2 linked regions of the Arabidopsis thaliana genome follow. The protein of the gene in region 1 interacts with the protein of each later gene in a pairwise test. Each region holds a gene or a part of one and is shown in the gene's direction. Other genes may lie near its edges.

Region 1 (5,161 bases):
ATGACTGAAAATGCATTTTTAAGAATATCAAAACTGGTATTCTGTAAAGTTCATGCACCATCAGTATTTAAAATTGTATTCATTTTGGGTATTTCCTAGTAATTAGTAAGTATATCGAAAGTAAATAAAAAGGAAAATAAACAAAAGAAAACATAGAAAGTAAGAAACTGAAAACAACATAATTAAGGAAACAAAACACAATTTCTATCTATCATTAAGTCAGGATAAGAAAAAACAAGAATAAGTAGTAAAGCTGACTAAGACATAGCTGGAGTTTGTATGTACAATGACTCAAAATTTAACATTCTATATACAATGGTGTGTTTCCCTTTCTTTGTATTTGCAATTATCATATATATATATATTAGAGAAAATAAGTGAAAAATAACATCATTCCATATAATAGAAAATATAATCTTGTATTACTTAGCTTATTAATACATTTTTTTACATATCAATTAATATTTTTTACATATTAATTGCTATATGAAATAACATGAAGTTACCAGTTTGCAACGGTCGATATAACGAACTGAAGCGTAACATTTTTAAAAAAATTGAAATGAGTTAGTGTTTTTTTTAATTTACTTTTACACATAATGACGTATACTATAACAATTATAGATATATTTTAGCTAAGTAGATAAATTTTAGATTATACAAAGCCAGTTGGTATGCACACAAAATTATTATTTTGGAAGACAAAATGTATAAGATCACCATGGTTAGAAAAACAACCATATTTTCTATCTTTCATTGGAGTTATATATAACACATCATGTAAACAAAATCTAGTCAAATTTGAAATATATTAATTAAATTGGTGTATTTTTAACATATGAAGTATCATTTTAGAAAACAGAAAGAACAAAGTCAAGATAACTAGAGACACACGTACTTGAAATCATGAGTAAATAAATATTAGATTATACAAAGCCAGTTGGTACATAATGCACACCAAATTTTAATTTGGAAGACAATGTATAAATCAACATGGTTAGAAAAACAACCATAACTTTTAAAACTATGGATAATTATTCATAGTAGTTATATAACACATAACTTCATATAAACAAAATCTAGTCAAATTTGAAATATATTAATTAAATTGGTGTATATTTAAGAAAGAAAAAAAAAAGTCAAGATTGTTAAGAGGCACAACTATTTCTTTTAAACAAAAAACAATGAATTCAAAGTAGATTTACTGTTACAATTAATGCTATTTGCTCTTGGAGATTTTATACCTTAGCGAGTGCAACACAGTAATTAAATCTCTCAATATATACCATACGTCTCCGGAGAGAAGAAATCACTCACTTCTAATTCTCATCAAAGTTTTACAAAAAAAATGGAGAACCAATCTGTGTCTTCTTCAAGCTCCTCCACCACCCCAAAAAAACCTGATCAAAAACTCAAAAGTGCCGTTGTGACCGTGGAAGAGAAGGAGACAATGAACAATCCGGAACAAAGGCCCCCTCAAGAGGTTGTGTTTGAAAACACGATCCCTGACCCTGAGTTGCCTGTTTTCACATTAGAAGTTGTCCGAACGGAAAGAGATAACGAGCTAAAATATCCTCCAAAGGATAAAAATCTCGACTCGGTGCTTTCTGGTGGTACTTCTCTTCCGCCTTTCCAAAGCTTTCCAGTGCCCTCTTTCGGCCTCTTTGGTCCAGCGTATGGCGGTAGCAGCTCAACTAATGATATTAATCTGGATCTCACTCTTGGTCCATCTTCTTGGTCTAACACTAACCCATCTTCTTGGTCTAACACTGACCCATCGTTCTATCGAAAATTGTTCACTCCCGTGCTACCTTGTGTGCCTAGAAACAATTTTGTTGCTGGAAACCCGGTTGGTTCAAACACTAGGTATATTCCTCCGAATGGAAACAACAATGTTTGTCATGATTTTTTTTTTTTACAGGGGAATAGTTCGGCCTCTACTCACTCGAAAAGTCTCTTCTCAATGGGAAAGAACCAAGCCATGGTGCGTCATTTTGCTTTATCTTATCCAACCACCTATTATTGTTATGATTTGTTTTCTTTACAAGGGAATGGTTCGGGAAACTGGCCACTCAAGTCTCATCTCAAAGTGGGAAAAAAAGTCAGGGTGCCTCCTTTGGCTCCTCCCTATTGAAACAACAATCATGATTTTTTTTCTTTACAGGAGAATGGTTCGGGATCTAGTCACTCGAAAAGTCTCTTCTCAATGGAAAAGAACAAAGCCGTGGAGCCTCCTGTTGCTCCTCCTAATGGAACCACCGATCTTCTGTTTCCTTCACCCGAGAATGGTTCGGGCTCTAGTCACTTAAAAAGTCTCATCTCAAAGGGGGAAAACAAAGTCGTGGTGCCTGAAAATGATGATGATGATGATGATTATACTGATACTACTATCGGGAGGATAAGGTGGTTGAACAAGAAAAAAAGATCAAGACCAGAGTAGTAATTTATCTATGTCCCTTTGATTTTTCAGTTTTCTATTGAGGCTTATGTTCACCTCTCTTTTTTTTTTCATGCAATTGTTTCTTCGTTTCGTTTCAAATAATCTCTGTTGTTTCGATTAATTCATCAGTCCCTTTTGTTCAATTCCTATATCTCATGATTGCTCTAAAATTCCTGCAATTTTCAGAATTCATGGCCCAATTATTCGTAAGCAAACGTTATTTTTTCAAAAGGTTAAAGAGGTTAAAGAGACATTAAAGAGACAAAATGTATAAAATCACCATAGTTAGAAAAACAACCATATTTTTAAGAATATAGATAACTCATAGTAGTCATACGTAACGCATATGAAGAATATTGATTATATTGTTGTGTTTTTATCTTATGAAGTATCATTTTCTAGAAAGAAATTAAAGAATAAAGTGAATGACAGTTGTAGTCTTGGAGAAACAATTATTGCTTTTAAACAAAATTAAGTAGTTTTACGGTATCAATTAATATTTGTTACCCTTGGAGATTATATACCTTAACGAGTTAAATACAATAATTACTATCCTCTCAATAAATATCGCCTCTAAGCAAAGAGATAAGACATCACTCACTTCTAACTGTCAGCAAAGTTTTACAAAACAAATTATGAACAACCAATCTATGTCTTCTTCAAGCTCCTCCTCCCCACACAAACATGATCAAAAACTCAAAAGTGCCCTTGTGGCCGTGGAGGAGAAGGAGACAATAAACAATCCGAAACAAAGGTCTCCTCAAGAGATTGTGTCTGAAAGGACAAACCTTGAGATGCCTAGTTTCAGATTAAGTTTTTTCCGAAAGAAAAGAGATACCGTGCTAATACATCCTCCCAAGGATAACAAGATCAGCCACACCTGTCGTTTCTGCAAGAGGAATTTCAAAAGCTGTTTTGCCCTAGGCGGTCACATGAAGTGCCACAAAAAGGAACGAGAATTGGAGAAGCAGCGAAAGATAATCGAGGATGCGATGCTTTGTGATAGTACTCCTTTCACCTTGCAAAGGCTTCCTGTTGGCCCTTGTAAGTATGGCCAAGGTGGTAGCTCACATGCTTTATCAACTGATGGTATTAATCTTGATCTAACTCTTGGTCCATCCAAGTCCACAGGAGGCAGCAACAATAGCACTAATAACAACACTAACTCATCGTTCCATGGGAATCTAATGACTCCCGTGGGTCCTTGTGTGCCTAGATACAGTTTGGTTGCTGGAAACCAGGTTGATTCAAGCAATATACATGTTCCTGCTTATCCAACCACCGATCTTTGTTATGATTTTTTTGCTTTACAAGAGCATGGTTCGGGCTCTAGTCACTCAAAAAGTCTCATCTCAAAGGGGAAAAACAAAGTCATGGTGCCTGAAGATGATGAGGATATCGGGATGATAAGGTGGTTGCCCAAGAAAAAAAGATCAAGAGGAGAGTAGTAATTTATCTATGTCCCTTTGTGTTTTTCAGTTTTCTGTTTTCTATTGAGGCCTATGTTCACCTCTTCTTTTTTTCATGCAATTGTTTTTCTCTTTTTGTTTCTTTGTTGTCTTTTTGATGATTTTGATGTTTCGATTAATTCATCAAATCCCTTTTTCAATTCCTACATTTCATGATTGTTCTTAAATTTTTGAGATTTTCAGAAGTCATTTTCGTAAGCGAACTTAATTTTTTCAAAGGTTAGAGAGAATCTGCAATTTGCTTAAAAACATTAGTTAAAGAGACATTATCTCTTCATTGACAATTTGTTAGCCTTGGAAAATTGAAAAAAAAAAATAAGAGGCAGAAAGAAGGTCTATCTGATCTTCTATTGTTGTAATTGTAACCTCACAAAAAAAAAAAAAAAAAAAAAAAAAAAAAAAAAAAAAAGAGGCAGTGGTTTCCTTTTGACGATTAGGGTTTCGCTGGTTCCAGTTTGCCCGGTTTTCTTCCTTGACCCAGATCCGATTTACTAGATTGTATTACAAATGTAATCATCTTTCAGGATATTTGTAACAAAAAGATACAACTGTTATCCAATAAAACTGTTATTTTTTTTATGTATTAATATAATCTTGTAATCCTAGTAAGAATTTATAAAACTTAAAAACCTGTAAGGCTGTAACTGATGTTTGCATCTCCATTCTCCAAAGATCTTTTCTATTGAACAAAAATCAAAACTATTTTTGTTTCTCTTGTTCAAGAGAAATCTCCTTTTAAAGATAATTTCCTGAAGACATTTATTCCATAGTATGAAGATCGAGGTCTAGAAGTTGATAGTATTGAAAATTGTCTATTGGATCAACTGGATTGTTTTCTCAAACAAATGAAAGTCAATATTGAAAAACACAAGTGCTTTTTCTTCCAAGCAGGAGATTGATAATTTTGCATTTGGAGCTTGTGCAGATCATTTATATATTAATTTAAGTTCGTGAAGATTTAGGTTTATGGTTGTAGATACCTCACACAAAGCTTACATAGTAGTTACATAGGAATAATACCGAACATCGTCGCTTCATTTGAGATGTTGGGTTGATAGACCCAACAATAAAATCATCCTAAAAGAAGTAAGCTACGTACTTATTATTTATAAAGGCTTGTCCTCCTCCCTTCCTTAAAGCCAAAGCCAACTCTTTAAGTCTCGCTCTCACTGCTTCTGGCGAAAGCTCAAGTTGAGGATGACCTCTCAGAAAATCATCGCTTCCATTTCCATATTCCTCAGATTCAATCTTC
Region 2 (5,629 bases), on another chromosome or scaffold:
TTTCCTTATTCTATTGGAAACTCGTTTCACGGAGGTCAAACAAATGTGAAAACCAAAAGTGTTCTTTGGAGTTTTGTTTTGTCTTCGTCAGGTCCAAAAAGTCCAACCAAAATGCCTAGAAGGTCACATAAACTTAAGTACCTAACAGGCTAACAGCAATCTTAATTACATGATATTTTGTTTCTGGACCATAATTGTCCTTAATGATGGGAAGAGAAAGGCTACTGGTATATTTCTGAAACTAGTAGGGGTATTAGATAAGAAATAACGCTTATACTATATATAATTTACATTTGTTAGAATTTTTTTATCTAACTTGGTTTTGGGTTTTGATGGAAAATATCTTATTAAATTATAGTAGGAGCTCGCTTATAAGAATTTTGTTTTGTTGTCTTCTCTCTTCTCGCTTTGAAGAAATTCAACATATGATAAACTAAAAAAATTAGTACGTAGTCTATAATTATAATAACTCATTTTTGTTTTTGATATTATATGAAGAATTCAAATAATTACGGATCCAGTGGCTAACCAATAACACTAACAATTTTCATACCTAAAATCTATTTTTTTTGTATATAAAATAGAATAATATAAATGGTTAGTTCCCAACTATTAGAATTATGGACGAAGGAAAAAGACAAAATTGGAAGGCCCCTTAACAGTGAGTTTGATTAGGACGACAATAATAAAATGAAAATGATTGGTCCTATCCAAACTCATTGACGAAATAGTGTGTTAATGTAATAATATGATATATAAAAAAGAAAAAGGAAAAGAGAGTGTGTGAGTAAAAGATTGGTCGTCAGCTGGATTTATGATATTTCGGCGGCATATCCCGTCCCCACCGCACCACCAACCGGAAGGACCATGGCATGGATACACATTTGTCTCACTTTATATCATAAATAAAAAAATATTATATGTTATCCAGATTTCGTATCCAAAATTTTCTAACAAAATCTCCATTTTATAATTCTACTGACCTTTTTAAAAGGCACTGTTGTGACTTCATTTCAAGAGATACGTACCAAATCTTTATTATCAAATATATCGTGACGATAGACATGTACACACATATAATTGTAGTACGCATTACTACGGAAAGAATATTCCAAGAGCTTACCAATTCCATGCCGCATACATTGGCGTTTATCCTAAGTTAGACTTAGGATTCCTAACGTTCCGAATTTGCGTTGGAGAGCAAGTTCCTGATCTGCTTACGGAAAAATATATTCAAACTCAAATTGCGAATGCCGAGACCATTTCAATTTTTGGGTTTTTGTCGAAGGGATGATGAGCAAATTAAAGCTAGTCCACCTTTTTAATAAAATTGCTTGTGAAGAAGAAACAATTAGGTCCAATATTACTAGAGACAAAGGCAATTTATAATTTTAATATTTTTGGTACTGTTTAAAAAAAACTATCAGTACCAATTGAACAATTTCTAATTTTGATATTTATAATTTAGTTAAAAATATGTTTGTCATATTAATTCTTTTTTTGCTCATATTAATTCATTATCCAGTTTTTTAGTCATTACATTTTTATTTTTTTTTTGTTTAGTCATTACATTGAATTAGTCGAATCAGTACATAATCGTTTCATCAGAGAACTAGTGAATTAAACCGACCCAGACTAATTGGAAGCCTTAATTTTGGATCTTATATTGTAGGCATATTAACTTTTTAATTTTCTTACATAAATCCTTCATATGAAATGTTTGTTTTTAAATGGCCATGGCCCAGAACCATTGCATTTTTGGGCTGGATAGTGGATGTATATGTGAATTCGTCATCATACCAACCTGGTCTGGCCTCTTATTAGTGCAGTTAAGACTAAATAACCCGTTTGGTAGGGAGTAGGGACATTTATTATGTCTGGGGTCGTTATCGCCTTATCGGAATCAAATTGAGTTTAAAGACAAAACAGTATGATCGATTAATTATCAAACACAACTTGTTTATAAATGTATAGATGTCGACATCCACATGGTATCATAACTTCTTCTGCAACATATCCCTCGATATCATATCCACCATTAATCTAATTTATTGCAGTATAACGAGTCGAGATATGTTCATGAATTTTCAAACTCATTAAAAAATTGTTGTAATTTTTTGTTTCGTAAGTAAATTTTGTTTTTTTTCTCTTTCAATTTAACAATGTAATTTTCTGGATGAAAAATTTGCAAACGGTATAAAACTTAACATTTCATATGATTTTTTTTTGGATAAAATTACAATTAAAATAATAAATAAAAGATAATAAAGTATAACTTTTGTATATTTTCCTTTATAAAAAGTAATGAGGTTGTTAGATGGACGGGAAGACGGGGACGAGGCTTTACAGAGTTTTTCTATATCCTTGTTGTTTCCGAGTGGGAATAAGCTCAACACCAAAAACACGTGCTTATTTTATTTACACGTCTCTCTTCTCTTACTTTTTTTTTTTGGGTCCATAACACGTAGTTTTTTTTTTTTCAAATTCATAACACGTATATGAATCTCAGACCACTAGAAGCCAACAAATTATACGATCATTATAGACAATAATGAGAAGACTTCTAGTTTCGATCATAATATGTTTAGTTTATACATATACGTCACGTTTTATGCATTATATACACAATCTGGTCAACATAATTATGGAGTGGAGAAAATAATTTAAGCCGCGTCTCGTTGTCGAATATATAGTAAGAATACCTGAAAACACTTTCTATTCATAAACCCTTTACGACAAAACAATAAAGACGTCTCTCGATTTATCTTTGTCTTAATCAGGAAACTATTTGACATTTCTTTATCGATTATTACTTCATATTCGGGTATGGATGAAGATTTTTTCTTACCCGATTTCTCACTAGTAGACATTGATTTCGACTTTAATATTTACGAAGAAAATAATTTATCACCTGATGAATCTTTATCAAATTCACGAAGAGCTGATCAATCGTCAAAGTTTGATCATCAAATGCATTTTGAGTGCCTCAGAGAGAAGCCAAAGGCAGCGGTGAAGCCTATGATGAAGATCAACAACAAGCAACAACTGATTTCTTTTGATTTCTCTAGTAATGTTATTTCTTCTCCAGCCGCGGAGGAGATCATTATGGATAAATTGGTTGGTCGTGGAACCAAAAGAAAAACATGTTCTCATGGCACAAGATCTCCGGTTCTTGCGAAAGAACATGTTTTAGCCGAGAGAAAGCGCCGTGAGAAGCTTTCTGAAAAATTCATTGCTCTTTCAGCTCTCCTTCCCGGGCTTAAGAAGGTATTGCAAATTTAAATTGTAAATTATCGATAAATTTGTTATATATTTAACTATAGATATTTTCATAGTGAAGAAAAAATAATAATTCATCAGTGTCAATTGGTTTTGAGAATACAAAACTATCTTGTGGTTTTTTAGGCGGACAAGGTAACGATTCTTGATGACGCGATCTCGCGTATGAAACAACTCCAAGAACAACTAAGAACGCTCAAGGAAGAAAAAGAAGCAACGAGACAAATGGAATCCATGATTCTTGTAAAGAAATCTAAAGTGTTTTTCGACGAGGAACCTAACCTATCATGTTCTCCTTCAGTTCATATTGAATTCGATCAAGCATTACCAGAAATCGAAGCGAAAATTTCTCAAAATGACATTCTCATCCGAATCCTTTGCGAGAAAAGCAAAGGGTGCATGATCAACATACTAAACACAATTGAAAACTTTCAATTGCGCATTGAAAATAGCATCGTATTGCCATTCGGAGACTCGACTCTCGACATCACAGTCCTTGCACAGGTGATCATTAATAACTATATATATATGCAATACTAAAATGGATAACTCGTAGTTCATCCAATATAATATTGATGTATTAATGAAACTGATAATCTACAATTATGCTTTCTTAACTTTTTGTGTGGCAGATGGATAAAGATTTTTCGATGAGTATACTTAAGGATCTTGTACGGAACCTGAGACTCGCAATGGTTTAGGTCTTCTTTCAAGTTTTAGTAACCTGAGACTGTACATTGACACAATCGTTTCGTGGATTTGCTATCGTTTTCTTCTTGAGATTTTTTCACACGTGCCCACATGTTTGATGTGTTTTTTTAGCAAAGCTATTTCCGATAACGACCGTTGAGAATTAATTTAGATGTAACATTTTTTGTTTGTTAATAATGAATTTAAAATATAACAGAATTGTTTTTTTATTAAGTGGCAGAAATAAATGTGGCCTTATCCGCTGTCCAAAAAAAAAAAACAAATGTGGCCTTATCCTTAGCATGGTCGTAATGCCTTCTGACTTGTTAAAGTATTTTGTAATTATTGACAAACCCTCTTCAATTCTTAATGAAATTCACATTCATGTCAACAAGAAACATATTGTAGAAAGCAAACCTTTTAACCAATCAAAAAAAAAAAAAAAAAGGAAAAGAAGATTGCTTGACATTAAAAAGATATTGTAGAAAGCAAAATTACATCGAAGGTCAATGTTACAAAATTCTGAAATATTTACGAAAAAATAGTAGGGCATGAAAATGGATTAAAAGAATTAACTTAATTATCTATAGTTTTGCCCCAATAAAGATATACAATTATAGTTTTCGTAATTTATTTTGAAAGTTTCAGTAGTTAGCAAATTCAACAACTTAGCTACATTTGCTTTCGACAAAAAAAAAAGCTACATTTGCTCAAAAAAAAATGACGCTAAATTCAACCAAATTTATTACTATTTACCAATAACTATTTAGAAGTCATAGGGCAAGGGCAGTATCGGAGGGACGTGACCAAATAATAATTGCCGCACGACGCGGTACGATTAAAAGCCAATTCAAAACCTTTGAGTACCACCTAACAAAATCATTTCTTGGATACGTTTATACTCACCCCAAATCTGGGATACTAATCAATTATAAAGTTAAGATAAAGATTTTTAATAAAAATAATAATTCAGCGCATCGATTAAGAATAAAATTACAATAAATTAAGCTTATTAAAATTTCTTTCTTATTTCTTGATTTCCGATATAAATAGTCACACGATCAAGGGTCAGCTATAGCTTGATAACATTTAACTTTGTGATCTTCGGATTGACACATGTCTTATCTCTGTTAATAACGCTTTTAAATGGCTCATATACCAAAATGTTTTGCCTAATTACTTCTCTTAATAAGTTTCGAATTTAAAAACTCCCTTCATATCGAGAAAGGAGTGATCACATGAATCACATGTACTATATATCACGTGATCAATTCAATCCGTTAAAAGTTTTTTTTTCCTTCCGTCAACAACTTGTCTTTTGCCACAAACAAAAAAGTTAAAGGATAGTCAACCACTGTGAATACCTCACAATAATTAATTACTATATATTTTATGGTTTCCATCTCTTTGAATATCGACACGAACATGTTACTTCAGCTTCCATTGTCTTGGATTTTGATTAGTGAATAATCGTAGAGGTTTTGACATAACCACAAGAGCATGTGTGCCATAATATGCTTGATTAATGATAGTTTTCCCTGATTCACCTTAATTATATTGTCTAATTTGCTATTATAGTATCATTCAGAGCATGCAGATGAAAAAACTAAATTCGGTGGGAAAAGAAGAAGTCAATTTCACGGGACACTAGTTTGTAATC

The links. The genes of interacting proteins can lie anywhere in the genome.
Region 2: the proteins of AT5G54360 (region 1) and AT2G22760 interact in a two-hybrid assay, tested with the Arabidopsis thaliana proteins (one large-scale study listed by BioGRID).

The regions. Positions count from the first base shown.
Region 1 is NC_003076.8:22,068,787-22,073,947, forward strand, and holds AT5G54360 (C2H2-like zinc finger protein), read left to right. Parts: upstream 1-3,075; coding exon 3,076-3,888; downstream 3,889-5,161. Other genes in the region: AT5G54350 (C2H2-type zinc finger protein), read left to right, coding at 1,349-2,134.
Region 2 is NC_003071.7:9,675,186-9,680,814, forward strand, and holds AT2G22760 (basic helix-loop-helix (bHLH) DNA-binding superfamily protein), read left to right. Parts: upstream 1-2,658; 5' UTR 2,659-2,826; coding exon 2,827-3,267; intron 3,268-3,405; coding exon 3,406-3,783; coding exon of another isoform or gene 3,784-3,819; exon of another isoform or gene 3,820-3,911; coding exon 3,912-3,980; 3' UTR 3,981-4,317; downstream 4,318-5,629.